Linked DNA regions of Lepisosteus oculatus. The protein of the gene in region 1 purifies or fractionates together with the protein of each later gene. This does not show direct contact. Links are inferred from orthologs where the notes say so. Each region holds a gene or a part of one and is shown on either strand. Other genes may lie near its edges.

Evidence for each region. Proteins that work in one complex are often made in the same cells at the same time.
Region 2: the proteins of prmt1 (region 1) and protein LSM14 homolog A purify together in Homo sapiens (affinity purification with mass spectrometry; 3 studies listed by BioGRID and IntAct, with this or other methods). This does not show direct contact. The link is inferred for Lepisosteus oculatus from reciprocal best matches to the Homo sapiens genes PRMT1 and LSM14A.

The regions. Positions count from the first base shown.
Region 1 is NC_090702.1:791,849-799,339, forward strand, and holds the start of prmt1 (protein arginine N-methyltransferase 1), read left to right. Parts: upstream 1-4,007; 5' UTR 4,008-4,084; coding exon 4,085-4,108; intron 4,109-6,751; coding exon 6,752-6,847; intron 6,848-7,491. UniProt on the Homo sapiens protein: Arginine methyltransferase that methylates (mono and asymmetric dimethylation) the guanidino nitrogens of arginyl residues present in proteins such as ESR1, histone H2, H3 and H4, FMR1, ILF3, HNRNPA1, HNRNPD, NFATC2IP, SUPT5H, TAF15, EWS, HABP4, SERBP1, RBM15, FOXO1, CHTOP, MAP3K5/ASK1, MICU1 and NPRL2.
Region 2 is NC_090715.1:15,177,863-15,186,313, forward strand, and holds the start of protein LSM14 homolog A, read right to left. Parts: upstream 3,585-8,451; 5' UTR 3,382-3,584; coding exon 3,261-3,381; intron 1-3,260. Other genes in the region: transcription initiation factor TFIID subunit 4-like, read left to right, coding at 5,711-7,052. UniProt on the Homo sapiens protein: Essential for formation of P-bodies, cytoplasmic structures that provide storage sites for translationally inactive mRNAs and protect them from degradation. Acts as a repressor of mRNA translation. May play a role in mitotic spindle assembly.

The DNA of each region.
Region 1 (7,491 bases):
AGCTGGACTGTGTTTTTACCCTGATCTCACTGGGCTCTACTGAGCTGTACTGGGCTTTTACCCTGATCTCACTGGGCTCTACTGCGCTGTACTGTGTTTTTACCCCGATCTCACTGGGCTCTACTGAGCTGTACTGTGCTTTTACCCCGATCTCACTGGGCTCTACTGAGCTGTACTGTGTTTTTACCCCGATCTCACTGGGCTCTACTGCGCTGTACTGTGTTTTTACCCCGATCTCACTGGGCTCTACTGAGCTGTACTGTGTTTTTACCCCGATCTCACTGGGCTCTACTGAGCTGTACTGTATTTTTACCCCGATCTCACTGGGCTCTACTGAGCTGTACTGGGCTTTTACCCTGATCTCACTGGGCTCTACTGAGCTGGACTGTGTTTTTACCCTGATCTCACTGGGCTCTACTGAGCTGTACTGTGTTTTTACCCCGATCTCACTGGGCTCTACTGCGCTGGACTGTGTTTTTACCCTGATCTCACTGGGCTCTACTGCGCTGGACTGTGCTTTTACCCCGATCTCACTGGGCTCTACTGCGCTGGACTGTGTTTTTACCCTGATCTCACTGGGCTCTACTGCGCTGGACTGTGCTTTTACCCCGATCTCACTGGGCTCTACTGCGCTGGACTGTGTTTTTACCCTGATCTCACTGGGCTCTACTGCGCTGGACTGTGCTTTTACCCCGATCTCACTGGGCTCTACTGAGCTGTACTGTGTTTTTACCCCGATCTCACTGGGCTTTACTGCGCTGTACTGTGTTTTTACCCCGATCTCACTGGGCTCTACTGAGCTGGACTGTGTTTTTACCCCGATCTCACTGGGCTCTACTGAGCTGTACTGGGCTTTTACCCCGATCTCACTGGGCTCTACTGCGCTGTACTGTGTTTTTACCCCGATCTCACTGGGCTCTACTGCGCTGTACTGTGTTTTTACCCCGATCTCACTGGGCTCTACTGAGCTGGACTGTGTTTTTACCCCGATCTCACTGGGCTCTACTGAGCTGTACTGTGTTTTTACCCCGATCTCACTGGGCTCTACTGCGCTGTACTGTGTTTTTACCCCGATCTCACTGGGCTCTACTGCGCTGTACTGTGTTTTTACCCCGATCTCACTGGGCTCTACTGCGCTGTACTGTGTTTTTACATCTATGCATCTCTGACATAAAAATTTGGATGACTCAAAACTTCCTTCATCTTAACTGTGACAAGACTGAAGTCATGCTTATTGGTACCCCCCATCAACTTCGTAAAGCCAGTCCTGTAACCCTGTCTGTAGATGGCTCTGTACTTGAGCTCCAATCAAAATTGAAAAACCTTGGGGTTATATTCGATTCTGGCTTAACATTCGACCCACATGTACAGCATACTGTCAAAACATCTTTTTTTCACCTTAGAAATATCGCAAGACTACGCCCTATGCTATCATTAACTGTGGCTGAAAAGCTGATCAACATATTTGTATTCTCTCGAATTGACTACTGCAATGCTCTGCTCCCTGGGGTATCTAAATCTACTCTGAACAAGCTGCAGTATGTCCAAAATTCAGCAGCCAGAATCCTGACCAGATCTAGTGCAAGTGTTCACATTACTCCTATCCTGGAGTCCTTGCACTGGCTTCCGGTCAAATTCCGCGTAGACTTTAAAATCCTCATGCTCACCTACAAGGCTTTACATGGCTTGGCACCTCAATACCTGTCTGAACTTTTATCGCCCTACTACCAAGCTCTGGAACTCCTTGCCCAAGGATATTAGAGAGTCACCTTCTCTAAACTCCTTCAAATCCAGACTCAAAACCCTCCTTTTCAGAAAAGCCTTTACTTAACTGGTTCCATTCTTCACCCCTCTGCTCTTCTTAATACCATCTTCCACGGTCTCCTCTATTGTTATTGTTGTATTGCTGTAATTATAATTGTGTCCTGTCTTGTGAAATTTTCTTATTTATTGTTGTAGTCTTCTTATTTATTGTTATTGTCATCCTGTAAAGCGCTTTGAGAAGCCACCTTTAAAGGCGCTATATAAAATAAAGTTTATTATTATTATTATTACCCCGATCTCACTGGGCTCTACTGAGCTGTACTGGGCTTTTACCCTGATCTCACTGGGCTTTACTGCGCTGTACTGTTTTTGCCCTGATCTCACTGGGCTCTACTGAGCTGTACTGTGTTTTTACCCTGATCTCACTGGGCTTTACTGAGCTGTACTGGGCTTTTACCCTGATCTCACTGGGCTTTACTGCGCTGTACTGTTTTTACCCTGATCTCACTGGGCTCTACTGAGCTGTACTGTGTTTTTACCCCGATCTCACTGGGCTCTACTGCGCTGTACTGTGTTTTTACCCCGATCTCACTGGGCTCTACTGAGCTGTACTGGGCTTTTACCCTGATCTCACTGGGCTTTACTGCGCTGTACTGTGTTTTTACCCCGATCTCACTGGGCTCTACTGAGCTGTACTGGGCTTTTACCCTGATCTCACTGGGCTTTACTGCGCTGTACTGTTTTTGCCCTGATCTCACTGGGCTCTACTGAGCTGTACTGTGTTTTTACCCTGATCTCACTAGGCTTTACTGAGCTGTACTGGGCTTTTACCCTGATCTCACTGGGCTTTACTGCGCTGTACTGTTTTTACCCTGATCTCACTGGGCTCTACTGAGCTGTACTGTGTTTTTACCCCGATCTCACTGGGCTCTACTGCGCTGTACTGTGTTTTTACCCCGATCTCACTGGGCTCTACTGCACTATACTGTGTTTTTACCCCGATCTCACTGGGCTCTACTGAGCTGTACTGGGCTTTTACTCTGATCTCACTGGGCTCTACTGCGCCTTTACCCTGATCTCACTGGGCTTTACTGCACTATACTGTGTTTTTACCCTGATCTCACTGGACTTTACATGATTTACACTATTTGTACCGTGCTTTATGATATCACTTGTAGTAATATGCGCACTTATTAATCAGATTGCAGAAGGTTTAATTCATCTCCACGACATATCCCCAGAACATTATTGTTGGTGCTGTGAATTTTCATTATTATAACGCATGAATCTTGCAGTGGGAGTGGCTGATTAAAAAAATTGCAATCAACATCATACACATGTTTGACGACCCATATAAAACATTATTTTCTCTGTCTGCTGTTAAACCGCTATATGACGTCATATTCGTCGGTCCCCACCAGTCCTTAGGACCCGCCCCTCAGCTCGGCTCCCTGAAGACGATTGGCTGTTGCCGAGCCACGGCAGAAGCAGAAACGATTGGCTGTTCCCTGGAAGCAGAAGCCCACTGATTGGTCTAGTTACCAGTCAATCAACCAGAAGCTGATCTCTTACTCGCAACAGACCCGCCTTCCGGAGGATTTAAATCCTTTAAAGAAAATCCCGCCGGTATGGATGGCTATGCATTTCTATCCACGGTGGTGACAATCTTTATTTTTAAGACCCGATGCACGTTTAAATAAAGCTAAATTCCTGTTTTAACTCTGCTGCGTGTTTCCTGCATTTGAGATTTTTTTTTGCTCTTGAAAATAACAGTTACTCTTGATAGTAAGAACAATAAGACGCGCAGCTGGGGGTCAGAAAACACAGTCTGGCGCAATTATTCGGCGTTTTCAAAACATGAGAGGTTTTAGTTTGCCGAATGAAACCAAACTGCACGGACGTTTCTGTCTCCTGCCTGATTTGTTCGGAACACGAGCCGAGCGGCGATGCAGAGCCCGAAACTGGTCTCCCCCTGCAGGCGCGGAGATTTACAGTCTCTGCAGCTGAGTGACTCACCAGGGGCGGACAGGAAGCCGGTGGGCGGTGCCCGGCGGTGACTGGCGGCCCCCCTGTCCAATCGCTGTGCCGCTTTATCCGAATGCGCCATGGATGTGGGCGGGGCCGGAGGCAGCCAGCACGGTGGGCTGGGACAAGGGGTTTGACCAATGGGAGGTCTGCGCTGGCGGAAGAGGGGCCGCCCCGTGGGCGTGGCCCAAGCGCCGTGGCCCAATCAGGGCGCCGGGCCTGGGTTTTGGAGCCGGCGGGGGGGCGGGACCAGAAGGTGCGTGTGGGGCCGCGGAGCAGCAGACGGAGACTCGAAATGGCGGAGAACGCAAGCATGGAGGTGAGCGGCCTGGCGGCGTGTGCGGGCCGGGCAGGGGGCCGAGCCGCGGCGGGCAGCAGGGGCTGCGCCGCGGGCCGGGGACCCGGGCGAAGAGGGGCTGGGCCGGGCTGGTCCGGGTCGGGGGGGATCGGGGAGCGGAGGCGGACGGGGCGCCAAGCGCGTCTCTTTGTTGGGTCGCTTTTCGTGCCGGAGCGGCCGCGTCCATTTTAGCTCGGTTCCCCCAAGGGTTCTGGCGGGGCGCAGCGGGCGGGGATCGGGGACGTCGGTCCGGTCCCGGTGCCGCTCGCAGTGGGCTCGGCTGGAGCAGGGGGGGCCGGACCCCCGAGCCCCTGAAATCTGCTCCCGAGCCCGGCGTGGGGCGCGTCGTGACGGGTCTCGCCCGGGGCTTGAGCCCGAGTCCGTGGGGAGGAGGAGTGGGGTGGTGAATTCCGACACGCGTGGGGAAGCTCGTGTGTCCCTGCCACCATAGGTCCAGGCGGGCGCCTCGTGGCGTGGGGGCGCTTTGTGTCCACTGAGCCTGTGGTGGCGCACGTGGGTCCGTGTCCTTTATTCCCCGTGGCGGTTCGGGCCCTCGTGCTGTCGGGGAAGCAGGGTGGCGTGTTCCGGGCCGGCGCGTACCCACGCCATGAGTGGGTTGCCGGCGCCAGCCGGTCACGCACAAAGACGACGAGGAGGGGGGGGGTGGGACGCGCGCACGAGGCGGCGAGCTCACGTGTCACCAGTCGCTGTTACCGGCGGGCACGAGGCCTCCCACGTTGTGGGTGCGCGCGCTTGGTGGTGGTGGGGGGGGTCACTGGTGTTCGTGGGCGTGAGATGAGATTGATCGCGTGGAGCTGTAGGGTGCCCACGTGTGCCCCCCCACTCATCCGTGCGGGGTAAGGGCTGATCGGGAAGGGGGCGCAGGTCCGCTGTGTGACCAGTGGGGGCGCTGCTGGGGTCCTGGGGGGAGTGTGTCACCTGTGTGCAGCACAACTCATGCCCACCCCTCTCTCCTCCTCCTGTCTCTCTCTCCCCCCTTTCCTTCTCCTCCTGTCTCTCTCTCTCTCCCCCCTTTCCTTCTCCTCCTGTCTCTCTCTCTCTCCCCCCTTTCCTTCTCCTCCTGTCTCTCTCTCTCTCCCCCCTTTCCTTCTCCTCCTGTCTCTCTCTCTCTCTCCCCCCTTTCCTTCTCCTCCTCCTCCTGTCTCTCTCTCTCTCTCCCCCCTTTCCTTCTCCTCCTCCTCCTGTCTCTCTCTCTCTCTCTCCCCTTTCCTTCTCCTCCTCCTCCTGTCTCTCTCTCTCTCTCTCTCTCTCTTTCCTTCTCCTCCTCCTCCTGTCTCTCTCTCTCTCTCTCTCTCTCCTTTCCTTCTCCTCCTCCTCCTGTCTCTCTCTCTCTCTCTCTCTCCCTTTCCTTCTCCTCCTCCTCCTGTCTCTCTCTCTCTCTCTCCCTTTCCTTCTCCTCCTCCTCCTGTCTCTCTCTCTCTCTCTCTCTCTCTCTCCCTTTCCTTCTCCTCCTCCTCCTGTCTCTCTCTCTCTCTCTCTCCCCTTTCCTTCTCCTCCTCCTCCTGTCTCTCTCTCTCTCTCTCTCCCCCTTTCCTTCTCCTCCTCCTCCTGTCTCTCTCTCTCTCCCCTTTCCTTCTCCTCCTCCTCCTGTCTCTCTCTCTCTCTCTCTCCCCCCTTTCCTTCTCCTCCTCCTCCTGTCTCTCTCTCTCTCTCTCCCCCCTTTCCTTCTCCTCCTCCTCCTGTCTCTCTCTCTCTCTCTCTCCCCCTTTCCTTCTCCTCCTCCTGTCTCTCTCTCTCTCTCTCTCCCCTTTCCTTCTCCTCCTCCTGTCTCTCTCTCTCTCTCTCTCCCCTTTCCTTCTCCTCCTCCTGTCTCTCTCTCTCTCTCTCCCCTTTCCTTCTCCTCCTCCTGTCTCTCTCTCTCTCTCTCTCTCCCCTTTCCTTCTCCTCCTCCTGTCTCTCTCTCTCTCTCTCTCTCTCTCCCCTTTCCTTCTCCTCCTCCTGTCTCTCTCTCTCTCTCTCTCTCTCCCCTTTCCTTCTCCTCCTCCTGTCTCTCTCTCTCTCTCTCCCCTTTCCTTCTCCTCCTCCTGTCTCTCTCTCTCTCTCTCCCCTTTCCTTCTCCTCCTCCTGTCTCTCTCTCTCTCTCTCCCCTTTCCTTCTCCTCCTCCTGTCTCTCTCTCTCTCTCTCCCCTTTCCTTCTCCTCCTCCTGTCTCTCTCTCTCTCTCTCCCCTTTCCTTCTCCTCCTCCTGTCTCTCTCTCTCTCTCTCTCTCCCCTTTCCTTCTCCTCCTCCTGTCTCTCTCTCTCTCTCTCTCTCCCCTTTCCTTCTCCTCCTCCTGTCTCTCTCTCTCTCTCTCTCCCTTTCCTTCTCCTCCTCCTGTCTCTCTCTCTCTCTCTCCCCTTTCCTTCTCCTCCTCCTGTCTCTCTCTCTCTCTCTCCCCTTTCCTTCTCCTCCTCCTGTCTCTCTCTCTCTCTCTCTCTCCCCTTTCCTTCTCCTCCTCCTGTCTCTCTCTCTCTCTCTCTCCCCTTTCCTTCTCCTCCTCCTGTCTCTCTCTCTCTCTCTCTCTCCCTTTCCTTCTCCTCCTCCTGTCTCTCTCTCTCTCTCTCTCTCTCTCTCCTTTCCTTCTCCTCCTCCTGTCTCTCTCTCTCCGTGTCCCTGTGTGTCCAGGTGTCCCAGGGGGAGAGCTCAGGAAAGCCCTCGGCGGAGGACATGACCTCGAAGGACTACTACTTCGACTCCTACGCGCACTTCGGCATCCATGAGGTAGGCCCCACGGCCCGGTCCCCTCGGACCCGCGCCAGCGGGAGACAGGCGGGGCTAGGCTCTGCTCGCGGGCGTGAGAGACGCAGCCGCCGGGGCTTCTGAGGGGAGACCTCGGGGGGCCGCGGAGAGCTGTGTCCGCGGTCCGCCAGGTGATCTCCTCGGGGACTGGCACTGCGCTCCCGTCGGGACCCCAGATCGGCCGTAAACGGCCTGGGCAGCAGAGAGACGACACAGGTGTGTCCCGTCTCATCCTGCTGGCTGCAGCACTGGTACAGTCCACGAGCTGTTGGACAGACATCACACACAGCGCTGAGAGACAGGCTCACTGTGTTCCTCAGGCTGGGACAGGAGATCACACACTGTATTATTATTATTGAGAGACGGGCTCACTGTCTGTTCCTCAGGCTGGGACAGGAGATCACACACTGTATTATTATTACTGAGAGACAGGCTCACTGTCTGTTCCTCAGGCTGGGACAGGAGATCACACACTGTATTATTATTATTGAGAGACAGGCTCACTGTCTGTTCCTCAGGCTGGGACAGGAGATCACACACTGTATTATTATTATTGAGAGACAGGCTCACTGTCTGTTCCTCAGGCTGGGACAGGAGATCACACACTGTATTATTATTATTGAGAG
Region 2 (8,451 bases), on another chromosome or scaffold:
CCAACTGATCTCTCTGTAACAAACGGTTTGACAGGATTGCAATATTTAATTCTTCATACAAAAAAAGGCCACGGTAACCTGCATCACAAAAACAATTTTAATGGGAATGCTACATTTAAATGTTTTAAAGCACTACAGAAAAAGTATGGGATTTAAGCAGTTTTGGAATTTAAGTTAAAAAAACTGATGAAACCAGATATTCCATTTGAACCAAATGCAGAGGAACCAACCTATAATGATCAGTATATGAATGCTCTACTTCACTTATAAACTGTTAGCCATGAATACTGTACAACCCATCTGCATTTGAAAAACACGACCTCAAAGGGAAGTCAAAGTTATGACGCACCATCACTACTCAAACTTCTTTTCCCATTTATAGAGGTGCCCAACGCTTTTTAACTGTAGATAACTCAAATCACGTCTCTTTGCAAGGTAGCAGTTTATTATTCATTTTTCACCATGTGGTAGGAAACATGTTTCTATCTGAAGAAATTCAGACAGCACATAAAACCTGCATCACTCATGAAGAAACCAGATTACAATTTTGCCAGTGAGCATTTAAGTATTCCCATTACACAACTAAACAATACAGTACAAACTTGGAATTAGGGGAGTCCAGTCTGAAAACATAACTCCAGTTATGTAAAACTAAATCCATTCATCTTGGGTACTTGAGTAACAAGCTTTCCTCAGGGCACGATTTTCCTAAACAGATAGGCGGCCTGGCATGTCCCAGAAGCCAAATCATGATTTAGCCCTTTGGAAGGCTCATATAATTACAGAAGCTCTGCGTCACCACAGGGAGCAAGAATTTCATCAGAGAACCTTCAGCTAAGGGGAGGAGAATCTGCAGGGGTTAAAAACCTCTGAACTGTAATCCCAAGCTCTCACACAGTTAAGAGTCAGGCTCAACATAAAGGTTACACAAGGAAGATACGGCCATCTGACCTATCCAGCTCAGCTGGTCTCTATTAGCTTTGTGATCAGAGAATCTCATCCAGCCCGTCGTTGAAATTCACCAAGACATCAGCTTTGGCAATGTGGCAGGGCACCTTTCTGCAGACATCAACAAACCCTTGGAATAAAAACGTGGCGTCTCCTGTTCAGGTTTAAACGATCCCATCTTTAATTTAGTTCTAATGAGCACTTCCAAAATTTGTATTACATGGATGACTACCAGGTCACGATGCGAGTCCAGACGCAACAAAATAAGCGTTGGTTCTAACCTTACACAAGTCTCAGCCCAGGAGAAATCAAGGTACATCCTCATTTAAACTGTCAGTCCTAACTTAAGCAGGACTTTAAAAACTGTATTCCCAGGAAATGGAGAGAGAACCAAAGAGCCTTCAAGTGATTGAAATAATATTCTGACTACAAGGTTTTCAGAAAAAAAGAGTTGGATTCGCCACTGCAGTGGCTCATGCATAAGCAACAAATAACTTGTAACATCAGCCTGGGTATAATAAATTTCACTTTTAAAGGCTGTCACCAAACAATTAGAAAACCATAAATCTCACACAATTTTTTATTTAGAAAGACACTCAATTGTGACTAGACAACTGCAATTTATTTAAAAAAAAACATCCTTCTAAACCATACATATCACTCGGGAGTTCAAACTCTTGGTCTTTTTGGGGTGCGATCAGTGTTCTGAAGTTCCTTTCAATCGATGCATGCTTGAGATCTGGGAACAAGATTTAAAGGGCCCAGTTCAGTACAGACCTGCCAGAGCCCTGGAATTCAAACAGAAAATACAAACAGAGCCCTCCATGACTGCACTTTGTTACAGTGTATCTAGACCGGGTTCCAACAAGTGACATCAGTTTTACAGCCTCGATTACAATATCAGCACAACCCCCGTCTTATTCTGCTTGGGAAAACGTAAACAAAGGCAAAACATTTCTTTAGAATAATTTAGTGTGAGGTTTGGGGCTAGGCCGTGTTTAAAACTATACCTTTAGGTGTTACACTAAACAGCCGAGCCCATTCTAAACCAGTTCACTTGCTGGTAGACAGGAAAAAGGATGAAACCGGTAGGACCCCCGATTTTATTTATTGCCAACCCACGCAACTGGGAAGGCCGCCGGGATACAGCTAGCCAAGGGAAACAAAAAAACTCAAGTTGCAGGTACAGCGATACCGCATAAACCTAAATGCAATGCCTCCGATTTCACCTGCACTTCTGAAGGCAACGGGAGACAAAAAAAAAACACCACCACACACTTGGAGCTGCCCCAGCTCCGGGCCCGGATTATAACCGGGGTGAAAGGAAGACTCAGCCCAGCCAGCTCACACAAAGAGGCCGACGTCAAGAGCCAGCTGGCGCAGAAAGTGAATATCAGAGGCTTGACGCCGAGTTGCACCGCCCCGGCTCGGCGGGGCGGGCGGGTGTGAAACCGGGGCCCCCGACAACGGAACCGAGCCTCCCCGCCGGTGCCGAGCGCAAACTTTGCCACCCCCCCCAAACGTTTACCGCCATTTTAGCTCCTCGTCGAAACACGGGTGCTCACACCGAGCCGGCTGCGCCGCCGAGGCCTACCCGCCTCTCACCCGAGAGCGGCCCATCCAGGCGGAAAGCCCGAGTCAACAAAGGAAAGGCCGTCTGAGCGCCTCCCCTCCGCCAGACCCGTAAAAGCCGGGGTGCAGGCCCTGCAAACGCACCCGGCGCGGCGCTGGAGCATGGCTGCTCACTTCTTTTATAAACAAAAGGCCGAAGGGGACTTGTTTACAAACCACCTCACCCCTGACCGGCGCTGGCTGTTTCTTGAATTACACGACCTCCCTCCCCCCCCGTCCCCCTTTTGTTGTTCCCCTACAGTCCACCTGCCCACGGTTAACCCCCCCGCCGCCACCACCACCATCACCAGATCAGCTATTTGTTCAATTTCCACCCCCCTCTCCGCCCGGATCTGATCCGTTAACAAAAAACAACAACCACCGAACGAAATAGCAGCTACGACTACGAAGAGCCTGTCGGCAATTTTCGCAGACCTAGAGCGAACTTTTCCCGCAGGTTTCGAGGCCGTCGGTCGCTTAATATATATATATATTATTTTTTTTGAACAACGAGTGCCAACAACACATCGAATAAAAATGTGCTTCGCTCCCCCCCCTCCTCCTCCTCCTCCTCCTCCGCTACCAATTGTGCTACCAGCCGGGGTTTCGTTGCTATTCCCGGAGCCCCGTCGGTGCGGCTGCGGCCGGCGGCTCCCCGTTCCTCCCCCATGACCCCCGCCTCGCTCCCCTCCCCCGGGCACCTTTGGCGAGCGCGACGGTGGAGTTCTCGGTGTCGATCGTGTACAAGATCCCCTCGTAGCGGATCTCGGCCTTCGAGATGAGGCTGATCTTGCTGCCGATGTAAGGGGTCCCCCCGCTCATGGCGTCTCCCGGGTCGGTGCGGCTCCTGCGACGGCGGATGGAAGTGGATTACGGATCGCGGCTCCCGGGCTCACTCCTCGCTCCCTCTTCTCGCACTCTGTTCTTTCTTCTCGGCTCTCCCCCTTTCCTCTCGGAGGTGCTACGCCAACATGGCCGACTTCATTTTTTTTCTCCTTCGCACTAAAACTGCCCGAGGGGCGCAAGCGGAAGTTGTTAAAAAAATGGCGCTCTCGCGAGTTTTCAAGGGGATGCTCCAAAGGTGACGAGAACTCAGTCTGAACACATGGACCTAATGGCTGCAGCTGGCGAGTGGGAGTTAGTGGCTGATTTATAAATAAAACTTCACGTTTTAAGCGCCAGGGTAACAGCAGAAAACTGAATTTGACGTATGCGTAAATAAAATGCACCCGCAGTTGTCTTCTCTTCTAAACGTTTGGCCCCTCACAGTACTGAGACGATCAGAAACACTACCTTCTAAGAGGAATTACAGAAAAGGGTCTTTGGGAATTAGGCATTGATTCAGAAGACAATGCAAAACTACTATATCGTAAAAAATAGAACAAGCAAGAGTGTTTTATGTCCGTATAATGTTTGATTTCTTGTACACAAAATGATATTGTGGTTTATTATATGACTGAACTGAGCTGGTTATACAGAACAATATATTTTAAACCCATGTGTTAATGAATAGTTTAGGGAAAACGGAAACTGAACAGGCTGACAAAAATTCTACTTTTATTGGCAAAATACAGTTTTCACTCATAGCAAATTTGATTACTTTAATCACAATCCTCAATCATATACGTTTTTTTTCTTGCTTCGCTTGTTCATTTATCACACAGCTGCTAATTGTTTAGAAAAAATAATACTGTTACAAAATAAAATGCAATATCCAATAGAAAATAAACATCCCAGAGCAGAGGCAAATGAGCATTTAGGAAGAGCTCTAACAAAATGTATTAACACATCTAAAATTAAATATGATCAGAGTTAAATTATTCTGATGAAATTGCTGAATAATTATCTAAAGTAACAGCACATATATAGATGAATACTTAGTTTACAAGAGTCTGGGATATATTTCAAGGTATGTGTAGGATACATTAGAGAGCATGGGTTAAGTGCAAATGATTGATCACATAAATAGAATATAAAATAAAGACATGCAGCACACTATCAATCACGGCTTATCACAGTTGAGAGGGTATTATCAAGGGTATCTAATCATTGGAAGATTTGGTCAGACATTCAGACATTTACCTTACGGCTTGCTGTGCTTTCTGTATACATTAGTCTGTAGTTGCAGATCTGAAAATATTGCTTTGAATTCTGAAAATAGTATACAATGCTGTATGTAAATTCTAATATAATATTTAGTAACCAAGAAAAAGGTTTGAAAATCTTTTTTTTCAAACTGTGAAACGTTTTATCTAAATTACTAGGAAGGTAATTTGTGTATTATTATTTAAGAAAGTAACATACAATACAGATATGCAATATTTTTTCCTTAGTGGTTTAAATAAATTGCTCTTGGTAGCAGTGGTTTTGAGCCAGGGGTGGTGAGACCACTGGGCCGCCGAACACAACCAAGTGAAACTGAAACACCTCTACGCTGCCAGCTGGTGACCTGCAGTTCTAATGTTAATTACTACTCAGACATTATTTTCAATATGCATACTTTACTTTGACCTTATGTTTTAATCGAGAGTCTTTAAAGTGACAATCAATGAAAGGCGGGCTATTAGAAAGAGCAAAACCTCTGGTTTATGCTGACAGAATGACATAATTCATTTTAGTTGCAAACACAGGACTACAAAGAAATTGACTGAACTATTCAAAATCCTCAAAGACATCGACAAGGTCAACCCCAGTAGACTTCCTCAAAATCAAGTGAGGTTACGAGTGGAAACTACAGGGAAGTGCATTTAACACTGAGACCAAGGAGGCACATATTAACACAAAAGGATTGTGGGAGTTTGGAACGAGCTATCCAACCATGTTGACCAGACCCTCAGATTAATTAGCACATATCGAAAAAGCTAGTCAGAACGGCCTCCTGGCTTCTTCTATCTTTATCACTGCAATCGACACCAGCTCAAGCGGGCGGAAATTTCATATTTGGGTGCTTTGCAAAAAGATAACCCCGTTCCAGCCTGCAGCTGCTCTCACTAGACACCAGCATTTGAACTCTGTTTCCTGCGAAATGAATCGGACTCGGACACAGCGAATGAATTTTGGCGCTCTGACGTCACGCACCGTTCCCACAATGCCCAGCAACACGCCTGCGTAGTGACTACACCAAAATTTGGACAGCGATCTGAGATCAAAGATGGCGGGTGCCTCCGACCCTCTGGAAGATATGCTCTTCTCCGAGGTGGATGAAAAAGCCGTTAGCGATCTGGTGGGCTCCCTGGAGTCGCAGCTGGCCGGCCAAAGCAACCCAGCAGCCCCCCACACCGAAACCAGGAGCGCTGGCGTGACGGGGGCCGCTAATCACCACTTAGGAAGAATGCTACCTGCCCAAGTGGACACTATACTAGAGCAGCAGCAACAACAACAAGGGCAACATAAAGCTGGGGTAAACCAGGAGCCCAACTGTAAAGCACTTAGCTCCGGGAAAACTGTGATACCGTCTTCGCTCAGTTCCATTCCGCCCTTCGAAGAAGCTTCCATCACTTCTGGGACCGGGGTAAATGCTAGTAGTAGCGGGTTGCCATCACATGGAGCATCTAATATCACAACAGTGTCTGCACCTGGTCTGGTAACTTTACCACCTCCGCTGGTCAGCATCAGCCCTGGCAGCCGGGGCACCGTCCTGGGCTCGGGAGGGGCAGCGACGGCGGCGGACCCCCTGAAGAACCACCTCACCTCGACCATCAGGACTGCTCCCGCAGGGATACAGAGTTTGAACGGGAACGGCGGAGTTGCAGTGAACTCTCCGGTCAACCCCGCCGCTCCTGCCGCCGTCGGCTTCCCCGCCGCTGCCGGCGCGGTGACTCTCGTTAATAACGTGGTGAACAGTGCCGTCCCCAGCCCGACCGGCGCCGCCAGCAGCGGCTTGGCCGGGGCGCCCTGTGCGAGCGCGCCCGCCTTCAGCGCTGCCCAGCCCGGCGTGGCCCCGGACGGCTCGGGCACCCTCACGATTGCCCTGCAGAGACCCCCGGGTCACCTCGCGGCCAGCGTGGCGCAGAATGGGAACGGGGCGCCGGCGCTGGTGCAGCAGGTCGCACGGACAGGTCCCCCGGCCGCGGCCGTAGCCCAGCTGGCGAACCACCGCAAGGGCGGGGATGGCAGCGACCCGCCGGCGGACTCCCCTGCGCCGTCTAAAATCATCCTGCCGACCCAGCCTTGCGTGGTCAGTTCCCTAGCAAACCCCGTCAGCTCTCCCGCACCGGCTGTCAACCCGCCGGCGAGTCAGCCGCCGAGCTCGGCGGCCACCTCGGCGCCGGCCGCCAGCAGCCCCGCGGCCAAGCCCGCTGTCAACATCACTACCGTCGGCGTGGTGAGACCTGGGACCCCGTCGCCGTCCGCCGGGATGTCCGCGTCCACGCAGCCCCAGCCCCTCCGCCCGGGGGTGGGCGCGACCCAGAGGATAGTGGCACCGCAGCTGATCGTCAGACCGCCCCAGCAGACCACCATCCAGCTGCCTCCCGGATTCACCATCCCTCCGGGTGAGTCCGAGTGCAGCCGTTTACACTGTCTCCTCTTCTCATTATAGCAGTACGTTATCAGCCAGTGTGAAGTGAGGCAGTTTTTAGTAGCGCTGCCATGTGTATGCACAGCCCTCGGATTCTTCTGGTATGTACAACTATTATTTTTAAAAATGCACGATTGCACTTCTAAAGGGTATAGCTATACTTGCCGGTTAAGTAACTTTGGTCCCACAAACGGAGCCTCCTTATTAGTTGCTGCTGCACAGAAAGCACCTAACCTACTCCTGTACTCATCTTTACCTCATATCAAAAACTAATTCTAGGGAATCGAATGTAATGAAAACTTTATTTTTAAAGATGCCAGATCAAGCTTTCACTGTGCAACCAGGAACAGTATATGTTTTCCATATTTAGAAATTTCAGTCCTACCTGTATGTCCAGTCATTATGCGTCCAGTGCAGAATGAGGTCATATCAATAGTCTGGCAAGGCTACACAGTTCTGGTATCAGAGGTGCAGCTCCTGAACCTCTGAGCTTCTAGATGACAGCAGTGAAGTTTGGCAAGTGACATTTAAAAAAAAAAAAACATAAAATGACGAGTTGCTAAAAAATTAAGAGAAAAATAATTCTGATGAGAGTAAGTAGACATTTTTTTGCACATTTTCATCATTGCACAAGAATTCCACATCTATCTCTCCCTTAAAGGAAGAGGAAAAGTATGATAAACTGCTGTAAGTACAGGCAGCACAGTCGCGTGACCACGTGACGCCACCTGGGACTTTGGTTCAGTGTCAGACTGTCGTACCTTCTGTGTGGAGTTTGAATGTTCTCCTCGGGGTTTCTTCCCAACTTCTAAAGCTTGATGAATGGCCGATGCAGAAAGTATCCCTTTTCAGACCAGCTGAAGGAGAACAGTTTTGAAAGTAGGCGCTAACTCCAGCAGCACTATTCATGAAGGAATCTGTGTGATACATACTTGCAACCAATATTGCAAAACAAGTGCTGCGAACCTCAAATTGCAGTTTGTTCTTAAACTGAAAGATTTTTTTTGTAGCAAGTCAAGTTGAGAAAGTCTTTAAGGATGTACAGCATGTTGATAAGATTTCCTTTCTGCCTAAATTAGATAAAGTTACAGTTATACTTCTTAAAATGGCTTATTTGAAAGGAATGGTCAATTTAGCAAATTCAAGGAAAACAGTTGTTTTAAAAAGTCAGAATTTGAGATACTCCTATGAACCATCAAACAATAAAGTGTTAAAAAATCAACTCCGTTATTTTAGAGATGATGTATGTATTATGTTGTTTTTTTCTCTGCTCCTTTTACCCCAATATGAAATTGCTTTTGCTGTTGAGCCCTAAGTTATTGCACCGTAGAAGTGACTTTGCAGACACGCAGCGATGCTTTTGCTGTTAGAGA